Linked DNA regions of Oryctolagus cuniculus. The protein of the gene in region 2 interacts with the protein of the main gene of each other region in a biochemical or structural test. Links are inferred from orthologs where the notes say so. Each region holds a gene or a part of one and is shown on either strand. Other genes may lie near its edges. The genes, in order: FASLG, FYN and ENO1.

What was found.
Region 1: the proteins of FYN (region 2) and FASLG form a complex in vitro, tested with the Homo sapiens proteins (4 studies listed by BioGRID and IntAct, with this or other methods). The link is inferred for Oryctolagus cuniculus from reciprocal best matches to the Homo sapiens genes FYN and FASLG.
Region 3: of the proteins of FYN (region 2) and ENO1, one has a biochemical effect on the other in vitro, tested with the Homo sapiens proteins (2 studies listed by BioGRID). The link is inferred for Oryctolagus cuniculus from reciprocal best matches to the Homo sapiens genes FYN and ENO1.

What each region holds. Positions count from the first base shown.
Region 1 is NC_091438.1:1,340,696-1,344,441, forward strand, and holds the start of FASLG (tumor necrosis factor ligand superfamily member 6), read left to right. Parts: upstream 1-1,010; 5' UTR 1,011-1,417; coding exon 1,418-1,777; intron 1,778-2,335; coding exon 2,336-2,384; intron 2,385-3,746. UniProt on the Homo sapiens protein: Cytokine that binds to TNFRSF6/FAS, a receptor that transduces the apoptotic signal into cells. Involved in cytotoxic T-cell-mediated apoptosis, natural killer cell-mediated apoptosis and in T-cell development.
Region 2 is NC_091436.1:59,897,142-59,900,787, forward strand, and holds part of FYN (tyrosine-protein kinase Fyn), read left to right. Parts: intron 1-1,424; coding exon 1,425-1,604; intron 1,605-3,646. UniProt on the Homo sapiens protein: Non-receptor tyrosine-protein kinase that plays a role in many biological processes including regulation of cell growth and survival, cell adhesion, integrin-mediated signaling, cytoskeletal remodeling, cell motility, immune response and axon guidance.
Region 3 is NC_091438.1:158,987,995-158,991,740, forward strand, and holds the start of ENO1 (alpha-enolase), read left to right. Parts: upstream 1-1,060; 5' UTR 1,061-1,227; intron 1,228-1,519; exon of another isoform or gene 1,520-1,687; intron 1,688-3,746. UniProt on the Homo sapiens protein: Glycolytic enzyme the catalyzes the conversion of 2-phosphoglycerate to phosphoenolpyruvate. In addition to glycolysis, involved in various processes such as growth control, hypoxia tolerance and allergic responses.

The DNA.
Region 1 (3,746 bases), on a different chromosome or scaffold from region 2:
ACTTGGGAGTGAATCTGGAAGATGAAAACTTCCTCTTTCTCTCTCTCTCTCTCCCTCCTTCCCCACTCTCTGATGCAATACAATTTTGAAATTCATTAATAGAGTTTTCATTGTACACATTTTCCATGAACTTCTTGAAAACCCCTTGTACATTTGGTATTGACGTGGTCCACGTGAGAGAGCCAGAACGACAGTCACAGAAATCTCACAGTGTGATGTAGAAACTAATGAAACTGAAAAGTAGACATCTTCAAAAGAACAGAAATTGAAGATTTGTGGAAATTTTATACAGTTTTTATGGGAGAATGATTAAGAGTGAGGCTGAGTACTTGGAAGTTATTGGCATATTAATGGTATTTGAGACCAAAAGAAAGGGTGAGGTCATAGCCCAGGCACAGTTGCCATCTTTAGCAAAAAACAAAGTTAAAAAAAGGACACCCTTTAAAATTTGAATTTCAGATAAACAATGAATAACATTTTAGTACAACTCTTGCATTGTTTAGGACATACATACCCTGAAGCTTATTTGTTGATCTGAAATTCAAGCAATTCTAGTAAACATAACAGCAGCTATGAACAGGGCTGCCTACAGGGGCCAGAAAGCCATTTCACAGGTGAGGTGGTGTGGGAAACACAGTACAGGGTGGAGGGACCTTGGGGGTGGAGGTTGGGCTACCTGGTCACCTGTGTCTCATTCCTGGGGACACTTGCTCCTCACCTCCAGCTGACTGAATTTGTGGAGATGGCCTTAAAAATATTTACAACAGAATGAAAATAGGTATTTTAATGTGGACTGTCTTGATTTTACAAATGAGAAACAAATCATCAAGAAGTAAAAACAGAGCTAGGCTGTGAGATCCACAAAGCATATCTGATCTAATCTCTAGAGTGGGCGGGGCAGGGTCTAATCTGTAAATTATGGTGATTTGCAGGGTTCGGGTAAACAGTGCTTGGTGTGGGGAAGGGATGCGGGAGGGGGATGATTTCCTCTTGCAAGTGACTCCAGTCTCCCCGCTCAGCGCCACTCTCCCTGCGCCAGCACTGCGCCCAGTGCTGCCCTGCTCTGCAGGCCCGAGGAAGGCGGTCACGGCTCCCTGCCTTTTCAGGTAGCGCAGCCACGGCAGCTGTGGCTCCGGGGGCTTTCATCAGAAAGTTGTGGGCGGAAACTTCCAGGGGTTGGCTCTGAGCTTCTTGAGGCTTCTCAGCTGCAGATATAAGGTGAGTGGGTGTCTCTCTGAGAACTAGCAAGAGAAGATGAGAGAGAGAGAGAGATTGATTGGTGTTTCCCTTGGTGTGGAAACTCTATAAAGCGAGAGCTGGCTGTTCCTCTCTTAACAGTGAGCAGCAGGAGTTCCTTCTTCGACATTGCAGCCTCCACAGGACTGAGAAGTAAAATCCTTGGGAGTCCCTGGCTGCCATGCAGCAGCCCTTCAGTTATCCATATCCCCAAATCTACTGGGTGGACAGCACTGCCAGCTCTCCCTGGGCCCCTCCAGGGTCAGTTCTCCCCTGTCCATCCTCTGTACCTGAAAGGCCTGGTCAAAGAAGGCCACCACCACCACTGCCACCGCCGCCGCCACCGCTACCACCACCACCACTGCCCCCGCTGCCCCCACTGCCCCCGCTGCCCCCACCACCCCTGAAGAAGAGGAAGGACCACAGCACAGGCCTCTGCCTCCTTCTGATGTTTTTCATGGTCCTGGTGGCCCTGGTTGGATTGGGGCTGGGGATGTTCCAGCTCTACCACCTGCAGAAGGAGTTGGCCGAGCTCAGAGAGGTAAGCTGTGTCCAGCAATCACTGGGGTGGGAGGAGGGCTCTGCTGCTGTGGGATGGAGCCTCCTGGGGTCTACCCGGACCACTGTCTTGCTTGCAAAGTGCTTTTCAAGCTTTACTGTTTGTCTTGGAAAGGGATTGTTCTTGTCGTTCTATTCTATAGGTAGAGAAATGGAGGGTCCTATGAATGAAGAGGTATTTTCTGTCTTGTAAAGAATTTGAGCCATATGGTTTTGCCTTTTTCAGTTGTCATGTCAGTCTGTGAAGCCACTGACCTCAGATCTAGTGATTCAAGAAATAAAAAAAAAACTTTGAGTCTGCTTAGAAGTGAATGTATTCAAATGACCAGACTGAATTTCCTTGAAAACATTTTAAAAAATCTGGTACCATTTCAAATGACAAAACTGAGGGACAATGAGACAAACTTGTTTGGCTAAAGTCTGAGTTAGGAAAGGTTCTGAGGAGTTTGGAATCTCTTTCGGGGGCTGGCTTATTTGGCAATTCCTCCACTGATTAAAGAGCTTCCTATTTATCATACATCTTTTCTCTTTCTTCCGGTAGTCCTTCAGTCAAAGGCACACAGCATCATCATCTATGGAGAAGCAAACAGGTGAGTCCTTTTATTCATGTGATTTGAATTTCCAAAGATAATCCTTAGCACTGAACATTGTTGGGGGGATACCTTGAATCCTATCCCATTCCTGGGCTTGTGAATATTATGAGAAGAGTCTTGGACAATTCTGAACCCCTGGTCAGTGTGGTTTCTTGAGCATCTTTTAAAATATGAAGTGAATTTCACTGCTCAAAATCAGTGTAGCTGAGTGTTTCACACAATGCAAAATACTTTTGACTTGACTTTGGGATGAGACACACATACATAATCCTGGAGCCCTGCCATTTGGGCAGCTGGTTGCAGGCCCATCTCCTTCCTCAGGAGTCCTAGTTAGGTATGGGCAAAGAGAGAAACTTCTGGGAAATGTCCTCTCCTCTTCTCAACTCCAGAAAAGAGATCACTCAAGAGTCAAGCTTCATTTAAGACATTGTACAAGATTTAGCTAAGCTTTTGATAAGTGGACAATTTCCCACATAGCATGGTTCCTTTGAAGTCATGGGGAGGCCTGGGAGAAGATTTAACCCATATTCAAAGGATTATTCCACTTTACCTATGAGATGTTTTTGACAATAAAGGAAAGTCCTTTGTATGAAATCCAGTACAAGAAAAAGGTAAAAGTGTTGAATTCTGGCTTCATTAAATTTCAGAGCATAGATTTAGACACTGTGGACAAGTATATTTTAGGATTTGCTCCATTTGTATTAAACCAAGATTAATTGACTTTTTAAACTTGGTTAGAACTGAGAGGGATCTTAAAGATCATCAGTTCCACCCATTTCATTTCTCAGAAGAGAAACAAAACATCAGACAGATTGGGTGATGTGCCCATGACTACTGGGTGGCGCTGGGGCTAGAAGGGATGTAGGCTCCTGCTGCCTTGGCACTTCCAGGACTTTCTAGCATGTGGACTGGTGCCTCATGGAAAGACAGAAACTCTTGCTTGACTGTAATTGCCAGGGGATGAGAAAGAAATGGAAAGCAGGACACTTCTGCAAAATCAGTAGGTAATTTTTTTCCTTAGAAATGTGGAAGAAGAGAGCAGGCAGGGCTAGCCATCCATTAAGTGCTGCCAGTTTCAATCTCAGGATAGCCTACTGCAGGTGGCCCAGGTCAGCGACTTCCCTGGAGCATAAACTCATGTAGGAGCCATCACTGAGATGCTCTGGCCCCTTGTTCTGATGTGGTAGAAACTCAGGAGGGGCACAGAGTGGAAACACTTTTTAGAAAAACGCAGCCTCTGGAGGACTTCTAATGTCACTTTGAAAATCAGGGGACTGTGGCTAGGGAAACAGGTACCTCATTACTCATCTCTCACCCACTCTCTGGAGGCGTTTTATTGGTTAAAAGTTAAATGAACAG
Region 2 (3,646 bases):
AAAAAACACTTAGAAATTGTCAAATTTCCCATTTACATTTGGTAGATACTTTATGAGACTTACATGAACTCATATTTAAAGCACTGTTCCTTTGTATGTATTTTTGTGAGTTCATATACTTTGTAATTATGTGAACCATTTTTATAGGATAACAAGAATTGCTCCAATTTACAGAATTTCTAAATTCTGTAATTAAATATGTAGAATATAAAATTTAATTTAAACCCATCTTTTTCAAATAGAAAATAACAATCTAAATTAGCAGATTTTTCTTTTCCCTTTAGAAAGCTGTTCTTCAAAGTCATAGGACTAATAGTGGGATACACTTAGAATTGAGTTTTATTTGTTTTGTTTTATTTGATTAGGGAGCTGAAATAGACTCATAAGGTAATCCAGGGTCACTCTTGTGTTTTACAGATGAGCTAACTGAGAACAGTCAGATCTAAAGCCAGGCCTGCCTGTGGGTCTGCTAGACTTTTTTTTTTTTTTTTTAAGATATATTTATTTATTTGAAAGAGCTACAGAGAAAGACTCTTTCATCTACTGGTTCATTCCCCAGATGGCTGGATCAGGCCAAAGCCAGGAACCAGGAGATCCATCTGGGTCTCCCACGTGGGTGGCAGGGTCCAAACACTTGAGCCATCTTGCACTGCTTTCCCAGGCACACTAGCAGAGGGCTGGGTTGGAAGTGGAGCAGCTGGGACACGAACCGGTGCCCAGTATGGGATGCTGGCACTGCAGGCAGCAGCTTAACCCTCCATGCCATAGTGCCAGCCCCTACTCGACTGTTTGTCGCATGGGAAGCTTAGCTATCTTTGCCCCTCCTAGCTCATGTAATTGTCCCAGTGTCCCTGCTAGAAGGCGTTGTTCTCTTGAGGCTGACCATCAGTAAACCGAGGTCTGCGCCTGACCTGGCTGAAGCACCGGCAAGCAGCCTGCCAGCTCCTTGCCCGTGCTCATCAGCACGCTTACGTCAACTGCTGAAGGACTCCGTCAGGTAACTCGCCCACTGCAGATGTCTGGAAGTCTAGAGGTAATCCCCAGGTATCCTCAGAGTGTGGCCATGGTTTTTAAAAATGGCACACTGCAAAAAATGGAGCGTACGTCATCTCATTTCTTCTGTTGGCCGGCCAGCTCCTGGACTTCCATCATTATAAAGAAGAGTCCAGAGCCTTTGGTATAATTTTGTGACATGTGACTGAGCCCAAAAAAGACAGTGCTATAAACTGAAATAAGGGGAAAAATGAAATGAATTATTAATCTGAATCTAGCCCTGGCCATACATGAACACAGTTTCCTCTTAACTACTTGACAGAGTCCTTGCAGTTGACTTTCGGAAACAAAAAGCACCTGATGGCTTTGAACTCTTCACACCCATCCAAAGAGGCCCTTTGGTTTGACTTAATCTTATGGGGTGTCTGTAGGTACCTGGAACGGAAACACAAAAGTAGCCATAAAGACTCTCAAGCCAGGCACGATGTCCCCAGAGTCGTTCCTCGAGGAAGCGCAGATCATGAAGAAGCTGAAACATGACAAGCTGGTGCAGCTGTACGCCGTGGTGTCCGAGGAGCCCATCTACATCGTCACCGAGTACATGAACAAAGGTTGGGCAGCACCTCTCCCAGCTCCCCCTCACGGGGACTCCAGGGCTTGAATCAGGGAGGGCAGGGGAGCTCCCGCTTGGCTTTCGTCCTGAATTTCTGTCAGAGTCGAGTATCCCCATCAGGAGGCGCTAGTCATGTGCTTATTGATGAAAATGTTTATAAGGCAGAATAACCCTGCGTTTGTCCCCCAGATCCTCATGAAATGCCATACATTTTGCATGTCGCATGTGTCAGGAATTCACCATAGTTAGAGCATTCACTTTTTATTACAAAAAAAAAAATCCATTTATTTTATTTGAAAGAGTTACAGAGACAGAGAGAATCTTCCATCAGCTGGTTCACTCCCTAAATGGCCACAATGGCCAGGACTGAGCCAAGCAAAGCCAGAGTCCAGAAGCTTCCTCCAGGTCTCCCATGTGGGTGGCAGGGGCTCAAGTGCTTGGGCTGTCCTCCGCTGATTTTCCCAGGTGCATTAGCAGGGAGCTGGATCAGAAGCGGAGCAGCCAGGTCTTGAACCAGCACCCATATGGGATGCCGGCATCACAGATGGCAGCTCTACCCACTGCGCCACAGTGTTCACCCCAGCGTTCACTTTTAATATCACAGCGCAGCAGGCTGTGATAGTCGCCTGTTGTTTTGAAAGCGGTAGCTTTTTTTTTTTTTTTTTTTTTTTTGAAAGTCAGAATTACAGAGAGAGAGGAGAGGCAGAGAGAGAGAGAGAGGTCTTCCATCCGCTGGTTCACTCCCCAAATGGCCTCAACGGCCGGAACTGCGCTAATCCGAAGCCAGGAGCGTCTTCCGGGTCTCCCATGCAAGTGTAGGGGCCCAAGGACTTGGGCCATCTTCCACTGCTTTGCCGGGCCAGCAGAGAGCTGGACAGGAAGTGAAGCAGCCCGGTCTCAAACCGACACTCATGGGATGCCGGCGCTTGAGGCCAGGGCATTAACCCATTGCACCACAGTGCCGGCCCCCAAAGCGGTGGCTTTTGTTCCATTCCCTTACTGCAGGCCTGCACCATATCCGGCACTGGTCTCTGGATTAAGTTGAATCTCGATCACTTCATTTTGCTTTTCTCTCCAGGCTTCCTCTTGAATATCCGATGAAGAAATGAGTTGCTTTAAAAGAGCACATTTTATTCTCATATTCTCACCCCCCCCAACACCCTCCCCCCCCCCCCCCCCCCCGTCATCCTAATCAAACCAGCATTGTTGGGGATGGGGCCAGAGATCACTTTGTTTTGGAAAAACAGATGAAGCAAACAAGAAACAGCCTTAAAAGGCAACGAACTGCTCCTCCAAGGAGCCCCGTGCAGTTCTTCTTTCCACACTCTTTTAAAAGGAATTTTTTCCTGGCAGATTGTTTGTCCTTTGTATCCAGGGTTATTTTGTAAATAATTTTGTGATTAAAGCATTTAAAAAAAAATCACTGATGACCATCGCGAGCCTCCAGCCTCTGCAAATGATTATTTGCACCTCCCCTCGGCGTGCGTAAGCGCTGAGCCGGCCGAGGCTGCGAGCCGCAGCTGCTTTGTTTCACGTGTCTGGTTTAGGGCTCGGCGGGCTGTGAGCTAATAAGGAGGAGGCGCCTGCCCCACCCATGGTTCCCAGACTTAAAAATCTGTCAACAAGCTAAGCTGGTGAATCTCAAACTTTACCTTGTGTTAGGTCCTTAACTATAGAGTTTCTGTGCAAGCCTGAGATGGAACCTGGGAGTGTGTGTTTTTAACAAGTTCCCGGGTGATGCTGTTAACTGCTGGCCCTGGTTTTCGGACCACCCAGCTGGGCCGTATTTCCTCCACCTCCTTCTCCTTTGTGCAGAGCTGATTGGGAGGTGAGCTAGAAGTGGTGCAGGTCCTCTCGCGTTCTCCTGATGACACAAAGGGAGATGGAGTTCCGTTGCTTCCACTTCTATTAAATCGCCGTTGTTGTCTTTAGAAATGGCATCAATGCTGCTCATTTCAAAAGCCTCCGCTTGCTTCCCAGCGCGTACAAGTTTTTCCACCGCTGTTTTTTCATGTAAGCCTTTTTGTGTGGATGGCAGTG
Region 3 (3,746 bases), on a different chromosome or scaffold from region 2:
GAGTTTTGGAAGACATCTGAGAGCGTTTCTACCAATCATTAATATTTTGAGCTACGACTCGAGGTGAAGTGCTGGCCCCCGCCGCTGCGGGGGTTGCTGAGATCAACCTCTGCCTTTGATTTCCTGCTGGGTTCACTGGTTCTGGCTGTGTCTTTATCTCTCTCTAACCATTTTAATGTAAAGATTGTTTGGAGCCTGTTCAGGGCCACACCTCAGAATCGCTCTCGGGGTCTGATTTCTTCCAGTTCTGAAGCCTGGCCGAGCCTGCCCGTTCATCCTGCTGCTGAGTCATGGGTCTGGGATGCTGTTTTCAAACAGCCAAAAATGTCCGTGTCGTGCTGGGGAAATCTCAAACCCAACTCACAAAATTCACGTGATTCCCTAGCAAAATACGGTAAAGTCACCCCCTCCCTGGCCTCCTTGCTTTTGTTCCTGTCCACGTAAAGCAAACGCCGTGGACTCAGAAGATCCATCACCCAGGGCCGCAGGACCCATGCCAGTAACCCTGGCGATTAAACACACAACTAGGGGATGAGGCAGAAAAACAGTTTTTACAGCTGACCAGGAAAAAAATGGTAATTAAACTTCGGAACGTTTGAGCCTGTGCAGAATACGGAGCCCTGGGTCGTGGCTTCGGCTGCCAGCCTCAGGGGCAGGAAAAGCCAAAACTCAGGCCTCCCTGGGAGGCGGTGTGCATGATTTTTTTTTTAATCGCTGTGGGTTCTTCCTCGAGCAGAAAGGAAAAATCAATGCACCCACCCCTGCCTGTAGTTCAGCTGTCAGATCATCGTGGAAAATTATCCGAGGCGACCTGAGCAACGAAGCCAGGGGGCTTCGAGCCGGCCTCCCGGGGCCGGGCAGGGGGAGAGGAAGGGACAGGGACTCTTGTCCACAAAGCGCACGGACGCGGCTGCGGGATGAAGCGCGCGGCGACGCTTCCGGCACGCAGCCGGCAACTCCTCTCGGCCCCGGGCTCCCGCGCGCCCGCCGCAGCGAGGACAAAGGGGCCAGGGTCACCTTGGCCGGACGCACGCGGGAGTCCGGCGCGGGCGCGCGCACGCGGCGGCCTGGCCCGGGCGGCAGGGCCCGGGCGTGCGGGCACCCAACGTCTCGTCGCCGACGGGGTCTCCCGGGCCCTGGCGGCGGGGCGGGGAGCCGAGGTCGTCACCGAGGACGTGGGCCGGACGTGCGGCGCCGGAGGGACGCTGAGTGCGTGCGGGACTCGCAGTACGTGACGGAGGCCCGAGCCCTCATGCCCGCCGCGCCGTCCCCGCCCCGCCGCAGGCCGGCGGCTTCGCAGGCCGCTCCCGGCTAGTGTCCCCAGAAGGGGCCTCGCCCGCACCCTGACACTGCCGATGGGCAGTCGGGGTCCCCCGGGCCCGCCACCCCCCGCCCCCAGGCGGTCACCCCCTCCGCCGCCGCGGTGGCTGCGGCAGCAGCCCCACCCCTCCCCGGGAGGCGAGGGCCCGAGTGACGGCGCGCCCGGCCAACGGCGAGGCGGCGCGGAGGGGGCGGGCCCGGGAGGCGGGAAGTGGGCGGGCCCGCGGGGCTGGGCAGGAAGTCGGGGCGGGCCGCGAGGAGACTGGGTCGGGGCACTCGGGGCGCGCAGGTCTCACTCTCCGGACGCTCTCGTCGGTGTCTGCAGCACCCTCTGCGTCTTCCCTGAGCCACAAGGTCCGGCGGCCAGGTCAGGGTTCCGGGGCAGGCCTGCGGGGGTTTCAGAGCCCGCGCGGACTGGGCTTCCTGGCGCCGGCCGTGGCGCGGGGGTCGGCGGCCCCGCAGACCCCGAGGGGGCCGCGTGGCGTGGAGGCTGGGCGGGGGGCTCGGGCCGGGCTCTCCCGGGGGCGCCAGGCAGTGCCTGCGACTTCGGAGGCGAAGCCAGGTAACGGTACTTGGAGAGCCGGGCGCGGCCCACGCGGGCCCCTGGGGGCGGCGGGGGTGGCGGGGTTGCGGGACAGACGCGGGCCTCGCCGCGCGGCCTGTGGGCGCCGGCCCCTCCTAAAATGGAGGAAGGGGCCGCGGGTCCCCTCCCCCACCGGCGACCGCCGGGGCCTCCGCGTGCCCTGCGCGCCGCCGCTGGCACGTGGGGCGGCGGTGACCGGGCCAGCGGGCGACCTCGGCCGGCCTCCACCGCGCCGGGCCCCAGCCCAGCGCCCAGCCCCTGCAGGGTCGCGTTTCTCCGCGATGTGACGATGAGGCACGGTGTATTCGTGTCCAGAGATAAATTGCTTTTCATAATTCGGCGTCCGGCGCAGGCAGGGCCGGCGTGCGGGGTACCGGGGCGTTTTGCATCTGCAGACATCGTGGTGCCGCGGAAGTTATCCAGATACGTAATTTGCTAAAACTAAAAGTTACCTAAAATTTTAAAACTAGAAAATGAGTTTGAAACAGATTTGCCTTCTTGGGAACATACTAGATAAAATTTGGATACCTTTATCGTGACCGAGGAGTAAAACTCCGTTGTTGCACAGAAGTGGCTTCAGTTTCTAATTTTGAAGCTTAAAAGTAGTGATGCCATTTGCTGCTTCGGAACATTCCAGAGAAGGTGTCAGAGGGGCGGGAGATCATGGCGTCTGCACACTAACTCAGTTCCTGTCTTGCACTTGAGTTCTGCAAGTTGCTCAATTTGGAGAAGAAAAAAGGAGGGGCTTTCTTTGAGAATTGGTTTTGTTCTTTGTTGCTGCAAATCCACAAATTTTTTTAAGGTGTTTGCTAAGGCGGTATCTTCCCTTGAAGCACCCTAGTGTTCAAAGATAGATCTTTCCTCCATGCGCAGATTACAACATTTCATAGTTGCATTTTTTAAATTGAGGTAAAATGCCCTTTCTTTTTTTTATTTTTTATTTTTTTATTTTTTGACAGGCAGAGTGGACAGAGAGAGAAAGGTCTTCCCATTTGCCATTGGTTTACCCTCCAATGGCCGGCGCGGCCAGCGCGCCGCACTGATCTGATGGCGGGAGCCAGGTACTTCTGGTCTCCATGGGGTGCAGGGCCCAAGCACCTGGGCCATCCTCCACTGCACTCCCTGGCCACAGCAGAGAGCTGGCCTGGAAGAGGGGCAACCGGGACAGAATCCGGCGCCCCGACCCGGACTAGAACCCAGTGTGCCGGCGCTGCAAGGCAGAGGATTAGCCTAGTGAGCTGCGGCGCCGGCCCTAAAATACCCTTTCAAAGATACCCAGCTCAGAGGTCATTATGGGCGTCTCCTATCTTGCTAAAGACCCAAACACTGGAATTGAAGAGGCCCAGTAAGTGGTGGTAGCAAAGATCAACGCGCAAAGAGCTCAGTATCCCTCAGCCCTTCTGAGTGGGTGTCTGCCAACCCAGGCCCCTCAGATCTCATTTGATGAATCGGGCCCCATTGTGCTGGAAGCCAGACCGCCTCGCCTCCCGCTTTGGCCTTGTTCTAGATGGTTTGCCTGTGGCCTGCCTGCTCTTGGTGCTCCTCACTCCATGCCAGCCCTCCAACTCCAGGCCGTACGTGCCGTCAACGTGTTAATTCTCCAGTTGGATCAGATTTCCCCGAGGGGCACACGTTGTCAGGCTTTTGCTCATAGGCAAGACTTCAACCATAGAAGTGAAGGCCTCCAGGACGGGGCCCAGTCCGGGTTGGATGGAGCGATGCCTCCGGCCTCCCGCCCCTAAGCTGCCTTCCTGCAGCCAGCATTCAGGCCAGTGCAGATTCCGCCTGGTCCAGGAACCCTCGAGTGAATGAGCAAATGCTGTGTAGTGGTTTATGGGAAATA